Schizosaccharomyces pombe: one gene and its partner. The protein of the gene in region 1 binds, or shares a complex with, the protein of each later gene. Each region holds a gene or a part of one and is shown in the gene's direction. Other genes may lie near its edges.

The links.
Region 2: raf2 (region 1) and cul4 share a complex: the UniProt entries of both Schizosaccharomyces pombe proteins name them as parts of the clr4 methyltransferase complex.

What each region holds. Positions count from the first base shown.
Region 1 is NC_003421.2:498,629-511,526, forward strand, and holds raf2 (CLRC ubiquitin ligase complex subunit Raf2), read left to right. Parts: upstream 1-2,136; 5' UTR 2,137-2,230; coding exon 2,231-4,141; 3' UTR 4,142-4,252; downstream 4,253-12,898. Other genes in the region: kcs1 (inositol polyphosphate kinase), read right to left, coding at 1-1,138; erv29 (cargo receptor protein), read right to left, coding at 4,989-5,897; rpl3601 (60S ribosomal protein L36), read right to left, coding at 7,787-7,864, 8,026-8,247; protein kinase activator Mob2, read left to right, coding at 9,425-9,692, 10,149-10,242, 10,308-10,680; cbr1 (cytochrome b5 reductase), read right to left, coding at 11,807-12,712. UniProt on the Schizosaccharomyces pombe protein: Component of the Clr4 methyltransferase complex (ClrC) which contributes to the establishment of heterochromatin by specifically methylating histone H3 to form H3K9me.
Region 2 is NC_003424.3:3,447,196-3,460,849, forward strand, and holds cul4 (CLRC complex subunit, cullin 4), read left to right. Parts: upstream 1-5,749; 5' UTR 5,750-5,860; coding exon 5,861-8,065; 3' UTR 8,066-8,552; downstream 8,553-13,654. Other genes in the region: SPOM_SPAC3A11.11C (pyridoxal reductase), read left to right, coding at 1-317; dpe1 (dipeptidyl peptidase), read left to right, coding at 1,169-2,398; nde1 (NADH dehydrogenase), read left to right, coding at 10,078-11,733. UniProt on the Schizosaccharomyces pombe protein: Required, indirectly, for activation of ribonucleotide reductase through the degradation of the protein spd1, thereby supplying deoxyribonucleotides for DNA replication and repair. Also has a role as a scaffold for assembling ubiquitin ligases.

The sequences.
Region 1 (12,898 bases):
CGTTTTCTTCTGTTTTAGTAATAGTATGAGTCACATTTAAAACACCAATATACTTTGGGATAAAGGGAAGCAATTCTGGATGGCAAGCTTCAATAGTTTCATAAAACGTATTTTCATTTCTTGTAAGTGGTTTGCAAACGGCTCTTTTAGAAAACCGGAAGAAAGCCGTATGTCCACCGACTTGATGTTTGAAGGGTTCCAATCGTACAGTAACCGGATAATCAACATTCCAATGGAAAAAAGGATGGTCTTCAGGAGGAGATGATGAGACAGATGATACAGATGATCGCGGGGTGGATGCAGGACTTTGATAAGAACGGGATACCGACCTTTCAAGCTCAAACGAAGCATCAGGTAGTAAAGGGAGGTGTTGAGATGACTTTTTAGAAGGATTATGTGGTATGTAGGTGGCTGTGGTTTTAGAACTACCACTATCTTTTCTTCGTTTAGGAGCTGAGCTCCGACCACGAGATGATCTTCGACTTAGTGATGTATCTTTTTCGGAAATAACTTCATCTAAATCATGCTGAGCACCAACACTTGGTGATCCAGATTTGGAGAGCCTTTCAGAAACAGATTCAAGAGGACTCGACACGTTGTGCAAAGCAGTATTAGTACTGTTACCGGTTTCTAAGTTATTGGAGGTAGAAGACTCAAAGAGACGTAATGACCTGCTTGCCTTTCGAGACGGATGAGCAGAATGAGCACTTGCCATATCATCAGCTTCAGAAACGGCTGAAGACTGCAGCACCGGTACTGGTGATTCAGCAACTGAATAAGAGGAACCACCTAATTGCAAGTCAGCTAGACTCTTGTGAATTGAATCACTCATATATTCAACAGGGGTGTGTGTTCTCAAAGGGGTTTGTTCTTGTGAATTACTTCTTGTTAAAATTAAGCGAGGGACATCTTCCAAGCTCGTAGTTCGAGGGTCTACAGCAGATGAATAGTTACTTAGCCTTCTAGGCGATAAACTGTCTAATGACTTAGGACCTATGGATTCAGAATGCATAGTAAAATTATTGTTATCTTCTGATTCATCGTACAAGCATTTTAACGTTTCAGGACCTCGATCATGAAAATTCACGTCTCTGCCTTTACGTGAATTCGGCAGGTAACACTTTGGTGCGTTCTGCATAAATTCATAAGTTTATCTCTATTAAATTAATATTTTTCCTTAATTCCCCTTCAATTCCTCCAATTTGTCCGATTTTTATTAGTTTACCTTTCGCAGAGACCCGCTTTGGTTCTTGGCAAGTTTCTTACTTTGCTCTAGCTTACAGTATAATGAGGCGTATAGTGAAACTACTTAAATTCATTATTGTCAGCAATACTACACTACGCTATGATACACTACGTTGCGTATCACTATATGTCATATGTTGGAATACTAGCTAAGATCCGTTTATTGATAATCACGGGTAACTATCCGTCTATATACGTAGATACCCGTTGATAACAACTATTTAGAAATATTATAAATAGCGTTACAACTGAACTGAGGAACGAGGTTCAGTTATGAGCTATATTAGTGATAGGTAACATTATAACCCAGTTAATACAATACCTATACTCAGTTGCTACTTATACAACCTGCGTATTGTAATATAATAGATCACAAGGAAAACTCACCGCAGTTCTACGTATCCTTAAATCAGATACCAAACTGCGTAGCTTACAATTATTCTACTCTAAAGATCCACATAATAATACACCGTATCTGTCATTAAATTACGCATTGTGTCAGCTATGCAATCATTAAAACACTTAATGATACTTTAGAACTGCGGTGGGTTTTCCTAATATAAAAAATAATGTTAAATAAAATTCTGTTTTCTATACAATAATAAATATATCAAAATATTAAGAGATATCGTATAGTATTATATGTGCACTAAAATAGTTTACAATCAGCTGAGGAGTACAAATCAAACTTCATCAATATTTTTCTAATTAAAGAATAAGTACTTTAGAAGCAACGTATGTTCACGGCCGAAAGAAATGTTGGTAAAACACAATTATAGGTATAGTGATTGTTAACGTATCGTAAGTATAACGCACTAGACGTTAATTATATATTTGTGCAGTACAATGGATACCCTTCTCTTAAATTTCAGAAGCAGAGATCAGAAATTTAACACCAATGTTTACCTCAAAAATATGCCGTCTATAGTAATAGGCAATATTACTTCGAAGAGTATTGTTTTTGGGGAAAAGGAAAAAGCTAGCGATGCCGCCCGTACGTGCTGAAAAAAAGCGGAAAACTGATTTGATTGAACAAGTTTGCGTTACAAATAAAGCAGGGGAATTAGTAGATTTAGAGGACGTTCTAGAATATGGCCCTTATTCATTAACAGGAATTTTATCTTCTGAAAAGGATGAGCAAGAACCATTGTTTGATGAGAGCATTGTTCTGGGATACTCGATAAAAATATCGCCTGTTTGGACATACAATCTAAAAGACGTTCCTGAGAAAGAAACTATGAGCATATGGATCGTTACACCTCAAAGAAGATACGGAATTTTGTCTCCTTCTTCTGAGTATAAAGCCATTTACGAACAGATCAGCGAGAAGAATCGATTGTTTTACCTTATTAAGACAAAATTCAAAGATGATATGATATCTGGTACGTTAGAAGATTACGATAATTATATCGAAGTTTTAAAGGAAAAGCTAGAGCTTCCTTCTTGTTTTCAAGCAATTCTCTTAGTGCAAAAACATATTCGCTTTCTGTTAACCCAAATGGTTGCGACTTCTTCATTACATGTATGGTCTGAATCACCTTTTTTTATAAGAATTCGATCTTCATACGAACATCTGATTTTACAAATTAATAAAAACATTTACAATGCTCGTCAAGAGCGAAAGAAATCAAAGTTATCGTCAAACAATCCATCGGACAATAATACTACTATGAAAAGCTCTTTAAACCAAGCTCTTACTTTAATTAATTTACCCGAGCAACCGTTTAGCATTTCCTCTCCCACAGCAACACCACAACTAGGAGTTGTAAAAAGAACTTCTCCATTACGGTTTCCTTTGAATGATATTTGGCTTTCCGGTTTAAGGATTGTTGATCCAAATATTGAATCGATATCATTATGGAAAAGAATACAAGTTTCAACCTCTCCGAAGCATCAACGTTATATTAGCCTTCAAGAAGTTTGCAGCGTTATTGCTCAACAGCTACAAATAACAAATTTGGAAGCTTTGAATAAACTTTCTTCCCACGGCGAAACCCTTTTGCAAATTATGCATACTGCTTTCACGTGGAGAGGTACTAAGCTTTTTAATGATATTAAGCACGCAATTGGTTTTAGATCTTCTGTTCAACAAGCACGATCTCAATTCCGTGGATATTGTTATGATTATTTATTCATGCATTGTAACAATGGAGAAAAAACAAGTCTACATCTCTTGAGGACTCTAATATGCATGAAACTAGATTTCTCAAATGCTCAATTGGCGGCCAAGATATTATTTCATTTCTTGTTATTTGATATTGGATCAGGCCTTTCTGGCTCAGATTATACATATGAACAATACATTAATCACTCAGCTGTCGCTTTCAGTTTTACGGAGGAAATTTTTGAAAAAAATTTTGTTACAGTTCTTCCTGACTTTGTTAAACTTTTTTCTATTTCTTTTGGTTATTGGCCTGCATTCAGCTTCTATGATGAATTATTGAAATTACTTCGCAACAAATATCCCAAAGTATATTCATCAACTCCAAATTTATGCGATCAGGTATGGCTGGATCGAACAAATTTATTCCCTTGTAATAGGTCAACGAGGTCGACTTTACCGTATAGACCTACAAAACTGCTCGATTTAGCTTCCGCATCTTCCTGCTTATCCAAAAAGGAAACAGATTTTAAACAAGACACTGGATTATATTCATATAACTTGGAGAAAGTTGAGGCTTTAAAAGTTAGTCCGGATTTACAGACTGGTATTTGGTCATGTCCAGTACAAAATTGTTTGTATTTTGCTGTTTGTGACAACCCGTATAAACCTTCTCAGGTCATTTACGATCATCTTTTAGGACATGTAGATTCCAAGTTTATATTTAAAACTCCTTCGAACAGTGTCCGATCGTTTACAAATAAACTTGAACACATAATGTACAACATAAATTAATGATAGATATGATGATTTTTACTAGTAATTAACAAAAGACACACTGCATTAAAGTTAATATATAGTATGTTTATAAAGGATTACAATTTTACATGGCTAATGTCAAATACACTTTACTTTACAAATATCATGTGTTCATAAACAATTTCAAAAACACATTTTGTAACAACAATTTGATACGCTTATAAATGTGCCTATTAAAGTGTACAAATAGCTGAATTATTTGTCAAATGTAATATAGGACGATCAAACAAAATCAAACACCAACCCTTTACAATTGTAAAGTTAATGGCCGTTCAAAATACCAGAACCCATTTTTGATAATAACTGAGACCAAGCGATAAAATAAAAACAGAGGAATGTAAACGCCAAGAACTACTAAATGTTCATGCGTAAGGAAAACGAGCAAAAAACGAGTATTTATTTTAGAAAAGAGCAATACTATTAAAAAATTGTTCCAGAAAATACGGACCATACGCGACGATTACCCATCTTTTTGGTTTTGTAAACGTAAATAGAATCATCTAATCATGAATCAGTAGGAGCAAACATGAGTATGATGAGGCTCACTTCTTTGACATAAAAAAATTAATGTGATAGGATAATATCCTAAATTCGATCCCACTCATAGATAGAAGAAAGTGTAATTTCAACTCTAATACAAGAATGGAGCCAAAGTAAACAAAGGAATGTACAAATAGGCAAGATCCTGTGAAAGAAAAGTACCTGTAAAATAAGGATTTTATGATATAAAAGGACAAGGTTGACAAATTAAATCAAATCATAAAAAAATTAAAAAATAAAACAACATTTTCATTTTTTTTTAAGAAACACGCAGTATTTTGGCTTAATAAATCTTTTTCTTTTCATCAACGGAAAACTTGCCCGGTCCAGTGTTGACGAGATATAGGAGACCACCAACAATAGACAAGGTTTGGAAAAAGTCGTAACGATAAAAGTCACGATAGGGACTTTCACGAGGAACCGACCAGAAGCTGTTGATAATGAAATTGGCAACAGATAGAATAAGAACGAGGACTGCAGCGAAGAATTTAGCCTTAAAACCAATGACCACCATGGCACAGGCTGTAACAGACAAAATATGAACTAGAATTCGAGTCCAAGAAATCCCACTTCCTTCCTTAGCCAAAAGACCCAAAAACATAAAGATCAAAAGAACACGCCCAGCTAGTTGGAAATAAGTACGTTTATTGTGTTCGGAGACGGCCGGTAAACCTGCAAATCTATTGATACGACGATGAATAAAGGTGTCACTGGCAACAAGGCATAATCCACCGATCACGCTCATGTTACGAAAGAACATTTCACCACTGGTGATGAGCCCATATGCAAACGCTTGTAAAAGTGTAACAAACAAAAGAGAGCCGATGGCATATGCCTGACGCTTTTTAAACACGACCAATGTCGAACCAACCAACATCAGTACAACACAAACAAACAGCAGCAACGGAGCAGTCCCAAAACGAAATCTGCGGTAGTCCCGCATATAAGATACTTGTTCAGGCCATTGAGTAACGATCCGAATAGCGTCTTCGAAATAAGTAGCGACAATTAGGAATCGACCCAAGAGCGGCATATACGGAGTAAATGGTGCCATGAACGTTTCAGCTTGCTCCATAAACTGACATGCTCGCTCTGAAAATGTCTTTTTTCTGATACCCACAGTAGTCCTTGTTTGATATGAATCCTGGTTCATAGAAAGCGGGATTGTCGAAAACGGCGAACGTGAAGTCATCTTTTCAGCTCGTATTAATTCGGGGTTTTTTTGGTGTCTATAAATATTTAATCCTTAAACTTCAAATATCTCTTAGAAATAACTTGATAAGGCCAACTTCCAGTTTCCTCAATTCAACCTCTTGTATGGAGAAGCGCAAGTTTGTCTCTTCCTTTGTTGCTCCTTATGGCCTGTTGGCATGCAGTCGTCATCCAGGGCAAACCAGAATTTCCTAAAAGGACAGCATTACAATTTGATGAATTTGGGATAATTTAAATAATTCTATGATCCTTATTTTTTTTATTTTTATTGAGATTCCTGAATATTCTTCAACCTCTACACTGATTTTTTATTTTAAGGCTCGCTATTAAGCGCAAATTGGTTTAGTGTAGTCTAAGAAATTATTACCTCTTGCAGTGAGTTAAAGAATGGGATATTTAGGAGAGCCAAAGACTTATGAAAGCTGCTTTGTAATGATTTTTAAAGCTTGAAAATATAGGTTTAAATTTTAGAAACTATATTTGGATGGCGTTCGGATGTAGTTTGAAAATTAACATGAGTCGTTAATTGATCACATTTATTGATGAAAAGCAAAAATAAATTAATAAAAGGCCCCATTTCCATATCACAAATGAATACTTTCAAGTTAGTGTCATAATTAAATGAATTTAGTGGAAGTTAAGTTTTATGTGTGTGATATTTACACTTGACATTACAAAAGCTATTACTTTCTTAGCAAGAGTCGTTGTAATGAACATTTGTAAAAACTTTATACAAACAAAATTTTAAAGAAGGGTATCGTATATAGGTCAAATACGTGAGTTAAGTTCAAATCTCAATATAGTCATTTGACGGCGAAAACAAACTTATTATCCGTGGAAATTTTGGTAAATCCTTTATAGCAACATCAATGTGAATATTAGCTTATTATTAAATTTATTTTATTTTTATTTTTTTCTTATTTTTTTTGGCGGGATATTGTATTATTAAATAATCATAACAATTATAAGTGCACTTTTATTTTTATTTTAAGGCATTTAGAAAAGCCGACTGAACCCGCCGGAGTAGCAATTTTCACACATAAAAAAAAAAAAGATAAAAAAATTTATGAATTCGTCTTGTATTTAAATTAATGGTTCATCTTCTTAAAAAAAAACTTCATTATATGTGACAATGTAGTACAATTGCTGGAAGTGTGATTTGAGCAAATGCACATTAGCAATAAAGTGTAAAGTTACCGAAGCGAAGTCTTTTCGTTACAAAAATTGTTTAGTAGCATATAGCTGAAATAAAAAAAAAAAGACGAAAGCAGAAAGAGAAAATTACATATTTCTTGGGAAAATATAATTAAAATTTATTTTCACATCCTTACGAATTTTCGTTGCTTCGCCCGACTCTATGCCTACTTTTCAACATATGCTGAATAACTGATGATTTGACGACTAATTGGATGTTTTAATAAAACATATCTATGGTTTTTCTCTTCAGTATGATGACTTTACTTCAACTACTTACTCGCAATCTCTCGGCACTTTTTTGAAAAGCACAATAACAATCCTGTGTCTCGAAATTCCAGAAGGAAAACTATGTTTTCGATATTGCATATTTTAGTTGAAGCAAATCTTGCCACATCCATATTTGATGAGACACTACATGTTAAACCAAATGTTTCTTTGAATATCAAAGAACATTAAATTTAACATGTACATGCATGAAAGAACCATTCTTACTCTTCAATTCCATTCGCACACTATTGAATTACTTACCCACTGTAGACTAACTTATCACAGCTGAGTTTTCTACTCTTTCACCAACTACCTAGCTAATTTTCAACTACACACGACCTTTTTACAATTGTTGTCATAGCATGAAATCCTTTTTATTTATTACAAAACATAAACAGGGATTTTTTAGTGAGCCAAACGAGAGCTTTGGATGACAGAGGTAAGCTCTTCAATCTTTCCCTTGGCACGCTTAAGGGTACCGAGCTAAAAAGTTGTTAGAATAAGAATAAATTCAATAACAAAACATAATATCCCATTACAGTATTCATAGCTCCGAGTCTCAAAATACCACAAGTGAATTTGAGTATACTAAGCTTTGAAGCTCTCTACGAGCATGTACAGTAACAGAACAAAATTTTACATACCCTCTTCTTGGCCAATTTGCGGGCACGCTTGTCTTGGGAGTTACGGATCAATTCCATGACACGACGCTCATAGGGAGCGAATCCAGCAACCTCACGAACGATAGAACGGACAAAAGAAGTACGCTTGGACAATTGTCCCTTACGGCGAGAAGGACGCTCAGGAAGTTGACGCTTGGTCAAAACCTTTCCTTTGTTTAAACCAACAACCAGACCAGGTGCCATTGTGAGATTGGTGTAGGGGAAAACTTACTGCGCTATAGTACAGACTATCACTGCCCTTAACGAAAATAACGGTCACAAAACTCAACCCTAACCTACATCCCTTTAACCAAAAAAATCGCACGAAATAACGATTCCTACCTCTGTATGGCTTATCAATTTTTAGCGTAAGTAAAGGAGGCAATACTACAGGTTCTCATTGTATTGTAAACAATGGAAATTGCTTCCATCTGCGGGTTTCAAAGGGTAAAGTCGAGAACGGTTATTACATAGTACTGAAACACTACATAATAAAACGTATTATGCCATAAATTATAACGAACGGTTCGTTTTTTTTGAAATTAGAGTTGCCCCTACGAGTAAATGTATGTCATTCAGTCTCCCAGCAATGCCATGCCCTCGTACGCAGCAGACGAAAGGCTACAGACAAGAACATGGGTAATCCCTTGCACTCAAATTGATTAGTAATGTATTTTATAAGCAGCAATGAAACAGCAGTCATACAAATCCTTGAGCATCCCGAAATATCACAGTATCCACGCTCCTTCAATTCCCGCATTTTCTACCGTATTTAGAAATGACTGATAACGCATTCCACCGCATCTCGTAATATCTTTTCTTTAGAAGAGGTATTGTCTTTCTTTCATCGTTTTGCTGTCTATGATCTCAAGAATGGCGATTTTCAGAGATAGACGTTATGGGTGCTAATTGTGCCATGATCGTACTCATCTTGTAAATCCCTGACGGTGAGAAAACGAGTTCTCCGTTTCAGCAACATCGGTGGTGTATGAGATAATGGATAACCAGTCCCAACCAAATATTTACAGAACCCTCAGACGAATTCGCTGGAAAGTAACATTCCCATCATCAGAAGGAAGACTCCTCTTGTTATGAAAATTTCACTAGCAAGTGACATCGATAGCTCCTAGCGTTCCTTATTTCACATCCGAGAGATCCTTACTATATTAGTCGGGAACCCTTTACTGCTTGACATTTACCGCTCTTGAAACTCGTTACTAAACCGGATATACGGAAGCTTAACACGTTCGATATTAAACAATATCGTTTTTGAAGGGATCAACTTTATTATTGGCTTACATAACGTTATCTAGAGTGGAGTAACTCGTTATAGGGGTCAGCCAACACAAAGCGTGGGCCTTTGTATAACCTGTCCTTTGCCATGTTTCTGTTAAATTCATTAAGTAGGATTACTCGAGGGAATCGATCCAAAAGGCATCAAAACCTTTCAGATGCAAGTAGCTCTTCTGGTTCTTTCTCCAAGAAAAGTTCTACATCGCAATTGGTGCGTACGGGGTCGCCGAGTGTAGAGCCTACAGCTTTGTATTTGCAGCAGCCATTTGTTCGGACTCATTTGGTAAAGGGTAATTTTTCCACGATCGTTTCTTTGCCAAGGTTCGTGGACCTAGATGAATGGGTTGCTTTAAATGGTATGTTGCTTTGTTTTTTGCAGTTTCGCGTCAGCAGAAGAATGATGGAGGTATTGGTTACTGGACAAGTGTTTTTAAATTTGACCAAAGCACTGTCTTTATCATCATTTTCCTTTGAGGGAAGATTCTTGACGGATTACTTTGCTAGGTTTCTTTGAATTGCATGACATGAATAGGAGGAAATTGAAGTGAACGTTCGATGGTACTAGGAAATTATACTTTGAGATAATTAGAAACCCAGGAATCTAGCTTCAAATTTTAAAAACCATAAATTTCAATCTTTTTATTATTATTATTATTTTTGTTTTTTCATCGTTCAACAAAAATTTCTTCTTTTTTTCCGGATACGTAATCCGTTCTGTCAACAACTTGTCTTGTGCTAACCGTTACAACTCTTTGCTTTTCTTCACGTTTTTTTTTGTTTCTTTATATATTTTCTAACTCTTTTCATTTTAGTCTACGAGTTGTTTACTTACCTCAATCATTTTTACGACGTGTTTGCTACATTTTGCACTGTAAAGACTTGTCCTGTTATGAGTGCTGCAGCCAAGTATGTGATTCTCTAGTTAATTATTTTCTCACCTCTACCTTTACTAACTTACTCTTTTATTATAGTTTCGACTATACTTGGTTGGATAACAACCGTAAACCCGTCCATTTACCCGCTCCCCAATATATTGAATACGTACTCGCTTGGATTGAAAATAGATTGCATGATCAAAACGTCTTTCCTACAAAGGCAGGCTTGCCATTTCCTTCAAATTTTCTTGTTATTGTTAAAGCCATATATAAACAAATGTTTCGCATTTTTGCCCATATGTATTATGCTCATTATGCAGAAATCCTTCATCTCTCTTTAGAAGCCCACTGGAATTCATTCTTTGCTCACTTTATTGCTTTTGGTAAAGAGTTTCAACTGTTGGATAAACGTGACACTGCTCCGTTAAAAGATCTTATTGTTGTCTTAGAAAATCAAGGAAATATTTAATATTCTTGCCGAAGGCAGGACACACTTCTGTTTTCTACCATTTATCTCTTTTGTTTTCGTCCTTTCCTTTACCCCCTCTTCCCACAAATACCCTCTTCCCTCGAATCCTCTCTCTGCTACACAGGCAGTAAGTTATATGCTAAATTCCTACACTTCCTTTTGTTCGTTTTTCGTTACCACCTTCATTAGCTAATTACTATTTGTATTTCTTGATGCCATTTTCTTTATTTTTACATCCTATTCCTTTTGGACTCTTGGCATATTCGCTTGCATTCACTGATTTCACGGGAATTTTTAAACAGACTTTGGCCGTATTCCTTAGAAATTATCTTCAACGTCCGTTTAGTTTCTTAACTATATCTTGCATTTTATGTGACTCATTCCACATTATTCCTTGATAATTATAAGAGATCTTATCCTTCTCAACAAAAATAATCCGCTAATGCTCTCCTTTCCTATATCTAACCATCAACTTCTTTTTTTAAAGTCCACAGCCTTGCTCCCCTTCTTAACCTTGGACTTGACCGATAAGCAAATTAAAAAAAAGTAAAACTTGTTACAACTGAAATTTGTTTTTGTTTTAATGTCCACTTTTTTTATAGCAGCAATTTACTCAAATGAACTGAAGACGTTTCCAAATTCGACACTTTTAATTTTTCCCTTCAGTCTTTTGTTGGGTTATTGGGCTTACTGATAAATAATTCAAAAAATTGTTTGTGGACGAACAGTGATTATAATTATTTCCTAAATTGAACGTTACATTCTCAAAGGATCGAGTTATGGTCTGACTCTCTTTTTATACTTTACGATAATTCAATTTTTGGGCATACTAATGGATATCCTTTAAACTGAAATAAATCTCAATGTAAATTTTGTTTATTTCTCTTTTAAGATTGCATTGGCTTGATCCTTCACTAGACTAGACTGTGTACGTATCATTGCTAACTTCAATCCAAGCAGATAAAAAAGTCTCTAGCTTATTCGTAAACATATAGTCACGTCAAATAATTAACTACTTAAAACATGTGCCGTGTAGTAAGATAAATTGCAGTAGAGTGAGTCGATTGGCAACATAAAACGAAGAACATTATTGAAACGAGGGAAGGGAAATAATCAAAATTAAAATCTAAAAGACAAATACTTGATCCTCAAGCTTCGAAATGGCTCGGGACTTTTCATATCCCAATGCAACTGTAGCTTCTCTGAGTGAATTAACCATGGGAGTAGGGCCACAAATAAGAACTTTGGTTTCAGGAGAAGGAGCAGGGAAATGCGCCTTGATAAGTTCTTGAGTAACAAATCCAACACTTCCCTTCCAGTTTTCAGGAGGATTGTTCAAAACATAATGAACGGTAAAACGAGGATCCTTCTTAGCAAGTGCGTCAATCTCATCACGAAGAACAATATCACCCTCTGATACATTAGCATATAAAAGAGTGATTTCCGTTGGATCTTCAAAATTAGAAAGAACAGCACGAATGATTTGAAGCATAGGAGTAATACCTGTTCCGCCTGCGATCATGCCAAAATGGCGCGCGAGGCCAGTGCGATGCTTCCAATTTCCCTTAGGGCCACGAACACCGATGGTATCACCAATCTTAAGTTCAGAAAACTTCTTACTCACTTTGCCATTGGGGTAAGACTTTACGAGCAAATCAAAATAACCTTTGTCAGCATCGGAAGACAGAGGAGTGTAAGATCTGGAATACTCCTTACCATCAACATCAACAAAGACCTTTAAATGTTGTCCTATGGGGAGACCAAGAACATCGTTAGCGCGAGGCAGACGGAAACGATAAATGGCAGTGTTGTGGTTCAATACAGCTTTATCACTAAGTTCAAATTGTTGAATTTTATCACTCAATACTTTACGAACGCGTCCACGCCAGAACTTATGAAAACCAAGAGAGAATGCCACAACAATAGCGTAACCCACCCATTCGCGTTTCACAATGTAAGTACCAAAGATGATCAAAAACACTGGAATATAGACTCCATGCAACGGGGTACTAAGAAGAGTTTGTTTGGCCATTTCAATTAGGATTGTGAGCCAAAATAACTAAAGAAAAAGTAGAGAAGCCTGAAAGCAGAAGAAATGCGAAACGTTTCCAGAAGACTCAAATTACAAAATCTTCAAGAAACTAAAATAATTTAAAGAATAAGAAACCTTTCAATAGTTTCAAAAAATTTAAAAGAAATCTCTAGTTTTCACGATTCC
Region 2 (13,654 bases), on another chromosome or scaffold:
ATGAGCAGCCTCCCTCAAGCACGTTTAGTTCGACTCTTCCTTGTATACAAGCATTGAAGGAGCTAGCTTCAAAATATGACATGTCGTTAGCAGAATTGGCCTTGAGTTTTATTTTGTCAGCCGGAAGGGGTAGAATTCTTCCCATACCATCGGCGACTAGTTATGATCTCATTGAAGCAAGCTTGGGATCATTTTCCAAGGTTTTAGATACATACCAATTTGCTGAAGTTGTTAGCTGCCTAGAAAAGACTTTACCGCCTCCAGCGTCTCCTAATTCAGAACCTCAAGTGACAGGAGGCTGTTCTAGTATGTGTTGAAAGTTAAAACCATAAACAGCACATAGCCACTGCTGCTTTGCTCAGGTTTTGTTAGGTTTGTGAAGATATTAGTAAATTTTGCTTGTTTCATATGATGCAAAGAGCAACAAAAGTTTGTGAGATGATATTGAAAGAGAGATTTGTTCTTCTATACTTATAAAACGGGAATGTGCCCGGATGTGCTTCATTTAATGAGAAGAACTGAAGAGTAACTGTTGGTGGATACGCCGTTTTAACTACTGTCAACGATCCTTTCATTTTCTATTAGTGTCATAACTTGCAAACAAAAGCGTTTCTTTTTCTTTTAAACTTCAACATTTTCGTTCTCTTGCAAATTTCTTACTACATTTCAATTTAATTGGGATTGTTGACTCGCAACACTCATTCCAAATTTCGAAATTTCTCTTTCTATGTATGTCTTATTAAAAAATTTCCTTTTCTTATATCACATCTTGTTTTTCTGTATATAACGCTATACCGACTTTTGTTTAGAAATGATATATCCATTTTTACTCTATACTGAGGTTTTATTTTTTTAATAGCATAGTAAACATCGTTTTAATAAACAGATTAATTTTTTAAGATCTAGCTATGTAGTCTTGCTCTTAGCGAAGGGTTTGTATAACAACATCAGATAAGCTCATTTAAAGTGACATTAGCACTAGCAAATTAGACATTCAATCTCTGCCAAGTTTTGCTAATTATTAGTTTAACAATTGAATTTTTTGGTAATTGACGGTGAAATATTATATTAAACATCCTGCGCCTTCATCGAGACCCAGCATATATAACCGACGTGACATTTCCACACATCTTAACAATTGCCGCACAAGTAATCATTTTTGAACAAGATGGTTTCCGATAGCAAATTGGAGCTTCCATTACCTGTAAACCAACAAAAACCTCGTAGAAGACGAATTTTAAAGGTTCATCTTTTAATTGCGGCTTTGATTCTGAGTGCGGTTGGCTATTTAGGCAAAGGCAAATGGATTTGGACTCCTGAACGAAAGGCTCACTTTGTACTAACTCATTTTCCTTTAATTGATGGGCATAATGATCTTCCAATATATCTTCGTGAAAATTATGATAATCGCCTTCTAAATATTTCGCTTGAGCACCTTCCTGGACAAACTGACATTTTTCGTCTTCGTCAAGGACATGTAGGGGGTCAATTCTGGTCTGTATTTGTCGAATGTCCTAGCTTGGATTCCAATAGTTCTCTTTCGTGGAATCGCACAGGTGAATATGAAGCTGTTACACAGACTCTTCAACAAATCGATGTTGTTAAAAGGATGGCTCTATACTACCCTAAAACATTCTCTTTGACTGATCATAGCGGTAAGGTCAAATTCGACTTTTTACGCAATCACATTTCAAGTATGATGGGCATTGAAGGTCTTCACCAGATTGCAGGAAGCCCATCCATTTTACGCCAATTCTACGATCTTGGCGTTCGCTATGCTACTCTTGCGCACAATTGTGACAACGTATTCGCCGATGCTGCGGTTGACGGAAAGCGTACTAACAAAGGATTGTCTCCTGCGGGCCGCGATATTGTCCGTGAAATGAATCGTCTTGGTATGATTGTAGATCTTTCACACACCACACCTGAGACCATGCATCAAGCCTTAGATGTATCAGTTGCTCCCGCATTTTTCTCACATAGTTCCGCTAAAGGGGTTTATGATCATCCCAGAAATGTTCCTGACGATGTTCTGATTCGCGTCAAGGAAACTGATGGCGTTGTTATGGTGAATTTTTACCCTGCATTCATTAGTCCACACCCTGAAAATGCTACAATTGATACCGTCGTTGAGCATATAATGCATATTGCCAATGTAACTGGATCGTATCGTCATATTGGCTTGGGTGGTGATTTCGATGGAATTGATATGGTGCCCAAGGGACTCGAGGATGTTTCCAAGTATCCTGATCTTTTTGTTAAATTGGCTGAGCGTGGTCTCAGTATCACTGAATTAGCAGATATTGCAGGCCGTAATGTGCTTCGTGTTTGGAAGACCACTGAAGATCTCGGGCATTCAATTCATGAGCCACCTTTGGAGTGGGAAGACGACTTTTAAACTTAATCGTTTATTAATAAGTCTACCTCTACCTCTTTATTTTATTTTTGGAAAAATTTACTGTATTATTCCATTTTGCCGGTTATGAATTTCTTACGATTAACGACAAACCATGCCTATTGCTTACTCTTTTATGCCCCTTGATGGATCGATTATTTTACTATTAGTTAACTAGCTCTCTTAGTTAATGTAATAAATTTTTGTTTGCTTTGAGATTATTTTCCACAGTATAATTTTTACGCATGTGTCCAATAATATAAAAAAGAAAAAGGAGAGTTAGTTATCCGATATGTGTTCATTAATTGGCAAATGCGAGACATAGAAAAACTCGATAAAAGACTGATGAAATTTGATTTTAACAGCACCCATAGACCCTTCAATCATCAAATAAATAAAAGAAACCACTGCATTAGCAAACATATTTTTTTAATAAATAAAAAATAACACACTTTTGAAAATCAGTTATGAATAAGCATTAAACGATCCCCTTCGATATGAAGAATGTGACCTCCTACGGTTATTATTCCCAGGCACGGGTAAGTTCCAAAAATCGAATATTTGGCCTATGCTGAGCTTCATTATCTTCTTCAACCGGAGAACCCTCACTGCTAACTGCGGCAGAAGGAGCACGCGATGGTCGACGACTGCGCGATTCGGAAACATTGTCAGATAAGAGTCCATTTCTCGTATCACTACTGCTTTCATTGTTCTCGTTGTAAAATGGAACTATACCAGGCCTGGGTATGTTATCATCCTCACTTTCACTGTCCCCAATATTAGTAAGAACTTGTTCACGACGACGGCGTTCTACACTATTTTCACGCAAATGAGATTCCGAATTTTGCCTTGAGTATCTAGGCCTATGATTCTCAATAGAACTCTCAATATGTCCAAGAGTGGGTTCCCTTTGTCTTTCGTCGTCCGGCTCATGTAAATTACGTTGAAAAGTATCATAGGAACGTCGTAAGAAACTGCGAAACTTGCGACCAAAACTTTTTGCCTTCGGATCCCCTTGAGCGAGTTTTTCATCAATTGAAGGTCCATTTGCATCTCGAGAACTGGTATGCGAAATAATGTTTCCTTGAGAATCTTCAACGACCAAGTCTTCGCCAATAAGATATGTCTCGTCACCAGGATTCATTTCTTCTTCTCTATCTTCCTCATTCGAGCGGCGAGGTTGCCGAGATTCATAGTCTTCAGAAGGAAATTCTTCAGCGTCATAGTGGCCTCCGCGTGGTGATTCAGCACGTTCTTCCCGTAGATGTGCGGCTTCAGGAAGCGAGACAGTTGATATATCAGCATCCTCATCTTCTTGAATGTTTACAGGATGACGCCTTCTTATGGAAGAAGCAATAGAGTTGGCAGAGGAGCGCAACGCATCAACTCTTTTAATTGGTAAGCTTTGTCCTTGACGAACACGAGGTAAGTTAAAAGCAAAATGAGAGTCCCTTGTTCTCGTAAACGACAAAGCCAACGTATTAATCCTTTTACCAAGCATGAAAAATGCAATACTGCTTCCATGAACAATGATAGAACTTAGAACCAGGAAACAAACTACTGGCCACATTACTTGTATGCAATACCAGTTTGGAATTTCAGGGTTTTCGATAGCATCATTAGGCTCAGGTACAGTGCTATGTACTTCTAATTCGGCTCGTGCAACCAAACAAGTATACAGTGCACCTACACCAATAGGACCAAAATGACCAGCAAAGAGAGCTTCTCGCCAATTGATAATATCAGGAACAAATGATTTAAATAATAAAACGGCAGGAATTCTCCTTGCAATTAAAATACATATAGCCAATACAACGAGTCGCCATACACTCAAATCCATATGTGGCATGTGAAATTGAGGCCAGGGCATGATAGCACCCACGTATACAAAAAAGGAAAGATTGAGAAGAAGGTCGATAACGTTGGAAACATGAGATTCTTCTGTTTTTTTCGAAAACCATGAGTCCCAAGAGAAAGCAGCACCAGCACAAAAAGAAACTAACAAATCATCGACACCAATGATGGTACCAATACCACCACAAAATAGTGCTAAAACGAAGTAGAATACAAGAAAACTTTCACGATCCATTAATCCTCGACGTTCCGAAAATTTAATCATCTTACGGGCTATTACACCTATTATTGCACCTAGCACACAGCCAAAGGTGCATTCGTATAAAATAATGATACATACCCAATCGCGGCCAGCATGTCGGGCAGGTTTCTCAATAATTAAATAAATAGCTAAATACAGAAAAGGAATTGCCATGCCATCATTACATCCAGATTCGGCCAAAAGCATGTTCCTAAGATGACCTGGGACTCGACGTGCAAATTTACCTTTACCGACAATAGAAGAAGCCAACACTGGATCTGTCGCAGTAATACATGCCGCTATAGCTAATGACTCCAGAAAAGAGAGTCTGGGAATTAAAGCATACATGAAGCCAGTACTTACTAGCCATCCAAAAATCATAACAGGCAAAAGCATAACAAACATACTGCGCCAATGTCGAAGCATATATGCTCTTGGAAGTTCAGCGCCAGCTGCAAAAACTTCGACAACTAAAAGGACTCGAGCAAGTTCCTCGGTGATGTAGTCGGTATTACCCCAGCTGGTGGGAACAAACAGTTTTGCAACGTAAGGACCAAAAATGAGACCCGTAGCAGTTGCCATAGCTATATTAAGTTAGTATGCTTCACATATATGAAGAATTGAAGAGTAAAAATAATATGGTGGAATATGCACACTGAAATATCTAGAGATCGCTCTTTATTTAACGAACGTAAACCGAAAGAATAATCTGGAATTACTACCAGCTAAATCAAACAATTCAAGTATCGTTTCAACACGCAAATCAAACAATTGTGCTTTGCAACCACTAATAACTTACTTGCTTCGCCCAAAAAAAGCTTTTCCTTAATAATTAAAGAACATAACATAAATAATGAAGTAAATCCTCCTATAATAGCATATGCTAGATGTGGTTTGGAAATCTCGACTTGACTCCATGCCATTCTCTTTCCAAGTCAACCTGACCTTGTAATTTCAAACCTATATAAACAAAAAGACAAATAAAAAACTTTATAGAAACTATAGAGAAGCTAATAGTTTACTCAAGCACCCAATTGTTTCAACAACTGGCGTTCGTTGTGGATAGTGGAGGATAAACATGGAAAACAATAGTTAGCTAATTGCAATGAGTCGCAGCTTGAAAATCTCTAAAAAACTGAAGAATTTCTAAAGTGAAAAAAAAGGCTTATTTAGTGAGATGGACACAAAAAAATAGCTTGAAAGTGAAATAGGAACTTCGTACCTTGTCTATATGTGCTGCTCTAAACCGACTTTTCTGAACGTCACTACTTGAGCACAAAATTGGTTTTTGCAGGTGAAACTATAGTAGTGAAAGAGCTCAGGCTTTCCACACATCTATTTATTACTTTTTATTTCACATTAGCACACCTATGCCTCCAGAAGCAAAACGTATCGTGGTTAAAGGCTTTGACCCACGAAAGTCGAGGCAAAGACAAGAGACCTACTATGTGACGATGATAGATCGTTTGAACATGGCTTTGCAAGTAGTGATGGCCGGTTTAGGCTTAAAAACAGGTTACCAAGAGTTATATTCGGGAGTCGAAAATTTAACAAGAGCGGATCAAGCATCTCGGTGCTTTAACATCCTACAACATCATATGTCTTCAGGAATCCAGCTTTTAAAGGATTCTGCGGAGTCTTTTATACAGCTTGAAGGGACTGAAACAGACACTAATGCATGCACCGTAGTAGTAGGGTGTTGGAACAAATGGTTGGAAAGAGTCGAGATTGTTCAAAACATATTCTATTACATGGACAAAACATTTCTTTCTCACCATCCAGATTACCCGACAATCGAAGAGCTGTCTCTGTCACTTTTTCGTGAAAAGTTGATGGCAGTCAAAAACATACAAATTCCCTTTTTGAACTCTCTTCTCCAAAGCTTTGAAAATTTACATAGCTCTAAAAGCACTGATCACGCCTATTTACAGGATGCGATGTTAATGCTACATCGCACGGAAATGTATAGCTCTGTGTTTGTTCCCATGTACTTAGTTATGCTAAGCCGTTTTTATGATACGGAGTCTAGCCAAAAAATTCAAGAGCTGCCTTTGGAAGAGTACTTGGAATATGCGATGAGTTCGCTTGAGCGGGAGGATGCCTACGTTGAAAAGTTTGATATTGTGCGCGATAAAAAGTCCATTCGAGAGACTGTTCAAAGGTGTCTAATTACTTCACATCTTGACACACTCACAAAGGGTATAAGTCAGTTCATTGAAAAAAGGGATGCCCATTCTTGTAAACTACTGTATGCATTACTGCAATTCAATCATGAAACCGAATATTTAATTCAGCCCTGGTCGGATTGCTTAGTGGACGTTGGTTTCAAGCTCGTTAACGATGAATCAAAGGATGATACTTTGGTTCAAGAGCTGTTATCGTTCCACAAATTCTTACAAGTCGTGGTGGATGAAAGTTTCCTTCATGATGAAACCCTTTCGTATGCCATGCGAAAAGCCTTCGAGACGTTCATTAATGGGGCAAAGGGATCTCAAAGAGAAGCTCCAGCTAGGCTTATTGCAAAATACATTGATTATTTGCTACGAGTTGGCGAACAGGCTTCAGGGGGTAAGCCTCTGAAAGAAGTATTTTCGGAAATTTTGGATCTTTTCCGCTACATCGCTAGTAAAGATATCTTTGAGGCGTATTACAAGCTGGACATTGCAAAACGGCTTCTCCTTAATAAATCTGCAAGTGCGCAAAATGAATTAATGCTTCTGGATATGCTTAAGAAAACCTGCGGTAGTCAGTTTACTCACTCTTTGGAGGGTATGTTTCGAGACGTTAACATTTCAAAAGAATTTACTTCTTCTTTTCGTCACTCAAAGGCTGCTCATAACCTTCATAGAGATTTGTATGTTAACGTCTTGTCCCAAGCTTACTGGCCCTCTTATCCAGAATCACATATCCGGCTTCCAGATGATATGCAACAGGATTTGGATTGTTTTGAAAAATTTTACCTTTCAAAGCAGGTTGGGAAAAAAATCAGTTGGTACGCTTCGCTAGGACATTGCATCGTAAAAGCCCGATTTCCACTGGGCAATAAGGAACTAAGTATATCGCTTTTCCAAGCCTGTGTCTTACTTCAATTCAACAATTGTTTGGGTGGAGAAGGGATTTCGTATCAAGATTTGAAAAAATCTACAGAGCTCTCTGATATCGATTTGACTCGTACATTACAGTCCTTGAGTTGTGCTCGCATTCGGCCATTAGTGATGGTTCCCAAAAGCAAAAAACCCAGTCCAGACACCATGTTTTATGTTAATGAAAAGTTTACAGATAAGTTATATCGTGTAAAAATTAACCAAATTTATTTAAAGGAAGAGCGGCAAGAAAATTCTGATGTTCAAGAACAAGTAGTGAGAGATCGACAGTTTGAGTTGCAAGCCAGTATCGTTCGAGTAATGAAACAAAAGGAAAAAATGAAGCATGACGATTTAGTTCAATACGTTATAAACAATGTTAAGGATCGGGGAATACCCTTGGTGTCTGATGTGAAAACTGCCATTGAAAAACTACTAGAGAAAGAGTATCTAGAACGCGAGGATAATGATATTTATACATATGTCACCTAATAGAGTATGCATTTGTTTTTTAATTGATTTAATTTAATTTTTCTGGTTATATGTTTATTCTTTTTCCATCCTTTTTGTTATTTGCTGGTGAATCTCCAGTGGATTTTTTTTCTCTATTCTCATATGTCGTTCATACACACACCTCTTTACCTGTCCGTGTCAAGTAATGCTATTGAAATCTGGAAACCAATTCAAGGAAGTCTGCACTGCTCTCCAATCAGTTTGGAAAAGGAACAATTCCAAAGTTCATTCTAAAATTGTACCTTGCATTTTTGCCTTCTACGAAAGTGTTCGCGCTAAGTACCGCATTTTCCAATGTAAGGATTAACATGGATGGAATGTGGTGCTGCTTATCACACTTATAGAACACCTTTATTTACAAAATCTAAAGTAAAAATTTAATAAATCTAATTAATTTTGTAAAGCCCAAGGTATTCTATTTTGGTTTTCCTGCCCATAAACACCTCTTATATTATTCATTATTTACATCTCTAAGTGACAGTGATGTGTGTGTTACTTGATGTAGATGTAGCTGAAACACGTGTTTGTTTGGATGTATTCAGAACCAACATCAAAACACTCCTATGTAAGCAATAAATTGAATAAGTTGAAGTATTTGGCGTAGGAAATTGGGACATTTAGCGTTATTGATTCTCTAAGCTTCTTGATCAGTTCTAGGTGAAAGCAAATAAACGGTATCTTCTGTTTTGTCCGTCACGAATTCCCTCATAAGAATGGAGTGACATAGTTAAAACGAGAAGGAATTTACCATTGATTCTAGTTTGCTTGATCTTCTTTGATTATATAACCTAGCTTCTCACCTACACATCTACCCCAGCATGCTTCTAACAGACTAAACACAAATCAAAAGCGATGCGCGCGCGTCCTGTCTTCATTAACGTTGTCTAAAGTGTATTACTGTATTATTAGATAACGCGGTTGGTATTTTTTGCTGTCAGATTTTGCGAGCTTGGTGTTAGATCACGTTATACGTCTCTTTATAATGACATGGCTCCTCTAGATGCAATGAGGGAATTTTCGGTTACGCCGCTGCGCATGCATAGAGTTTGTGAAAAAGTTGCACCCCACAATCCCCTGTGACCATGACTAAAGGTAGAACCTTTTTTGAGGTGAAGCAACTGTATATGAGTTTTTGAAACTATCGGTTTTGTAGGTGTTTTTGAGCGTCTCTATTTATTTACATTGCTAATCGAAGTCAAGAAACAACAATGTCCGGTATGTTGTAGCGGACGCGGCTGGAATCGCTGAATGGTCGCTCCCTCTTTCACAGAGGCGGGCCATGAATCGCTGTGCAGATACATGTCGTCAGCGTTACGGGAGTCATCATTAAAAGTCCGCAAACGGATCCGCCCGTACAATTTATCAAAATAGTCTCGCTCGTGTATTAAATTGTCGTTAAAATACCCTGTCCGACTTTGACAACTACCATTACACCTACCGCTCATTTTTTACCATTTGGCTGTACTGATTGATTACCTACAAGGATATCATATCAGCCTTTGGAAAATACGTTTTATTAAATCGACGCTTATCTGCGCAATCGTCGAGTGTATAAAAGGAGCACACTTACATAGCTGAGTACGCCGTAAGTGTTGTACTTGGTTTATTATATTTTTTTTTCTTTTTCTTTGTAGTTTGCTTCTCTTCGGAGTCACTTTAACCACCCCCTCCCAACTCAACTTAATTATTCAGTCTTTGCGGCCTCTGTTGATCCTATCCATTTCTTCAACTGACCGAATATTATTTTACCCCTGATATATTTTCTTTGTTGTTAAAATAAAGACCCATTTCTTCATCTTTTAAAAATCTCCCCTCTTAAGGCTTTTCAAGCAAACAGTTGATATCCACAATTTTTTTAACTTTCCTTGATTGTGTTTGTGGATAACTTATTACCCCCCTCTCTCTCCCCTCTTCTTTGTGTATTTTTATCACATAATAAGTTAGCATCTTTTTTTGTTTCTCTCGAAGTTTTCTAGTAGTTGCTTGTTAGTATGCTTTTTTCTCGGTCTATTCTCCGAGGAATGCCAAAGGCTGGCATTCCAAAATCTCCCTTAGCTTTATCGGCTTCTCGCAATCTTCGCCTTGCAAACAGCGTGCGCTTTGCTTCCGATGCTGCTTCTTCTCCCAAGAGCACCACAAGTAAGTGGAAGATCCTGAAACGTACTACATTAGGTCTTTTCGCTACGGCTGTTGTTCTTTATGGTGCCAATGTCTACCGTTTCCGTCATCCTGATCCTCATCAACCTTTGCCCGATCCTTCCAAAAAGACTTTGGTCGTCCTTGGTGCTGGTTGGGGTGCCACTTCTATTCTTCGTACTATTGATACTTCTCTCTTTAACGTTATCGTTGTTTCCCCTAGAAACTATTTCTTGTTCACTTCTCTTTTGCCTTCTACTGCCACTGGTTCCGTTCATACTCGAAGCATTGTACAGCCCATTCGTTATATGCTCCGTCATAAGTCCTGCTATGTTAAATTTTACGAGGCTGAATGTACAGACGTCGATGCCGACAAAAAGGTCATCCATATCAAGAAAACCACCACTGATGGAGTCGATTTAGAGCAGGAAATCAAGTATGATTATCTTGTTTGCTCTCACGGTGCTGAAACACAAACCTTCAACATTCCCGGTATCGCCGAGTATGGCTGTTTCTTGAAGGAAATTTGGGATGCCCAAAAGATTCGCGCTCGTATCCTTCATTGCCTCGAACAAGCACAGTTTAAGGATCTTCCTGCTGAAACTCGTCGCAGATATGTACATACTGTCGTAGTTGGCGGTGGTCCTACTGGTATGGAATTTGCCGGTGAAATGGCTGATTTCATTGAAGATGATCTGAAATCCTGGTATCCTGAACTTGCTGATGACTTTGCCGTTACTCTTGTCGAAGCTTTACCTTCTGTTTTGCCCATGTTTAGCGCCAAGTTACGTGATTATACCCAAAGCTTATTTGACAGCAGCCATATTAAGATCAGAACTAATACTGCCCTAAAAAAGGTCACTGCTGAAAATATCCATGTTGAAGTTAAAAACCCTGATGGAAGTAAGCAAGAAGAGGTTATCCCTTACGGATTATTGGTCTGGGCTGGTGGTAACCGTGCCCGCCCTCTTACCAAAAAGCTCATGGAGGGTAGTGAAGAGCAAAATAACAGACGTGGTTTAGTAGTCGATGAATACTTAAAATTGAAGGGTTACAAGGACATTTTCGCTCTAGGTGATTGCACTCACACCGCTTATGCTCCCACTGCTCAAGTGGCTTCACAGCAAGGTGCCTACCTCGGTCAACTTTTTAACAAACTTGGATCGTTGAACTTTGAGAAGCCTAGCGAAGATAGACACATTGCCCTCGGTGATGAAATGGATTCCAGCACACTTATCTCTTTAGCAAATGAGAAGCATGCCTCTACCAAGGTCTTCCTTCCCTTCAAATACTCTCACCAAGGTTCTCTCGCCTATGTCGGTCATGAGAAAGCTATTGCCGATATTGAAGTTCCCTGGTTTGGAAAACAACTCCATGCAAGCGGTGCTCTTGCCTTCTACTTCTGGCGTTCGGTTTACCTTTCTGAATTATACTCCTTGCGTAACCGTACCAATGTTACACTAGATTGGATTAGAGTTAAGTTATTTGGACGTGATATTTCTTCCCTTTAAATTGGATTTGATGAGACATTTTTGTGATTCGCCTGTTTGATTAATGCATGATATTTGTTGTCTTGCTTTATTCATTGGGTTTACCGAAAAATTTGGTTTTCCTTACATACCGATTAATTGATTGTTATTCGTTCGTAAACATTCAAGTTTAAGAGTATATTTATAGTTGTTTTGTAGTAGATTCTGGCACGTGTACATAATTTAAGCATCGTGCAATATTACCTTTAAATTAAATGTTCTCTACATACGTATTATCTAAATATGTTCTAGATAAACATAACGCAATTAGCAAACAATTTTATAATCAAGTTTCAAGCCGAGAAAAATCACTTTCCAATGTATGCCATATTTTTAGACTCTCCTCTTCGAGTTTAACATGCTGTTTGCAATATTCAACATAAGGATTTCCCAGACTAAATACATAGTCTTGCAAATAGGAAAGTTCCTGTTCGAGTTCATGTGCTATTTGGTACCTTTGATTTAAATTTTTCAAGTAAAGCTCTTTCTTCTAAATATTCGTTAAAACAAATTCCAAAGTGAAAAGTATATTGATTCATGCATACACTTTTAAGACTATTTTCAGCTCTCTTCTTAGAACTTCGGTTCAAAAATGTTCGATTTCTTCCACTTTCGTCGCTATTTGCTGTTTCACGAAGTAAATTCTCATCATTCGATATTGTATGCCGTACTTTCGTTAAATCGGTAGAAAATACTTCCGATATTCTTTCAATTAAAAGCTAAGGTATTAGAAAAAAAATAATGATTATACTACTTACTCGCAGTGATATTAGAATTTTAATTTCCTTTGATAGGCCAAGTAAAAATGTATGTTTGACAGCGTCGTTTTGTTGATGCAGGAGAGAATCAATGTTATAAAAGTGACCACTTGCCATTGACATAATTTTGCTTTCATTTTGAGCAAACGTAGAAGTAAACACTTGATGGTACAATCCACTATCAAGTAAGCAACTAAGAAAAGGATTAGCAAAACGTGACCAACTTGAATACTTACTTGAAAGAATTTTGCAGTCTCAGAAAATCTTCATGAAAATGCTGTAACGTAAAAATCATTTTCTCAAAGATCCTGAAGATGTTGAGCTGGTTATTTATCGCCGTAGTAGTAGACATATTCAATTTTAAAAGCCTTTCTTTAACCGTTTCTGAGGCATCGGGAACTTGACTTTGAGGTACCACTAGGAATTGTTCAATTTCTTGGTCAATTCTTTTCTGATTTTCCCTTCTCCAATTTTTGAAGACCTAAATTCATGAGAGCAATTAGTTAAATCTATAAGGAATAAAACTTACATTTGGCTCTGTAAAAAATACTCGGACAACCTCATCATTGGAGAAAATAGGATGATGAGATAAGTCATTTACAAAGTCGGACAATCCTGGCGGCGGTGTTCTAAAAAACTGTTTTGAGTTGAAGCATTTCGCTTCGCAACTGACATATATTAGCATTGTTGGGATTGAAAAGGATGATTAACTATGCATACAGTGAAATTTCTTTAGCGCTAAAAGAATTAGTAAGTTAAAAGCCGTAAATTGAAAAAAAAAAAAAAACTAAAAAAACTCTTACGTATTAATGGTACTCTTCTAAAAGGATATTTTTTCATCAAGTAAGAATGTAGCCTTTCGAACTAGTTAGAAGAAAGAAAGAGAAAAGGAAAATAACTGTATGGAAAAGATATCCAAACAATTCGGAGAGCTTACCAAAAGAAATCACTGTATCGACGAAGAACTTCACGAGTGTTAGAAGAATCAGATATAATATAATTATTATGGCGATAGAAAAAGTAACCACTAGGCTCAAGGTCAATGTCAACATTCATTTCCAAACTAGCGGGAAATGAAGTTGAACTGGAAGCCAATCTAAACGAACTATGTCTACTGTTTGACAGTAACGGCTGAGTGGAAGGGG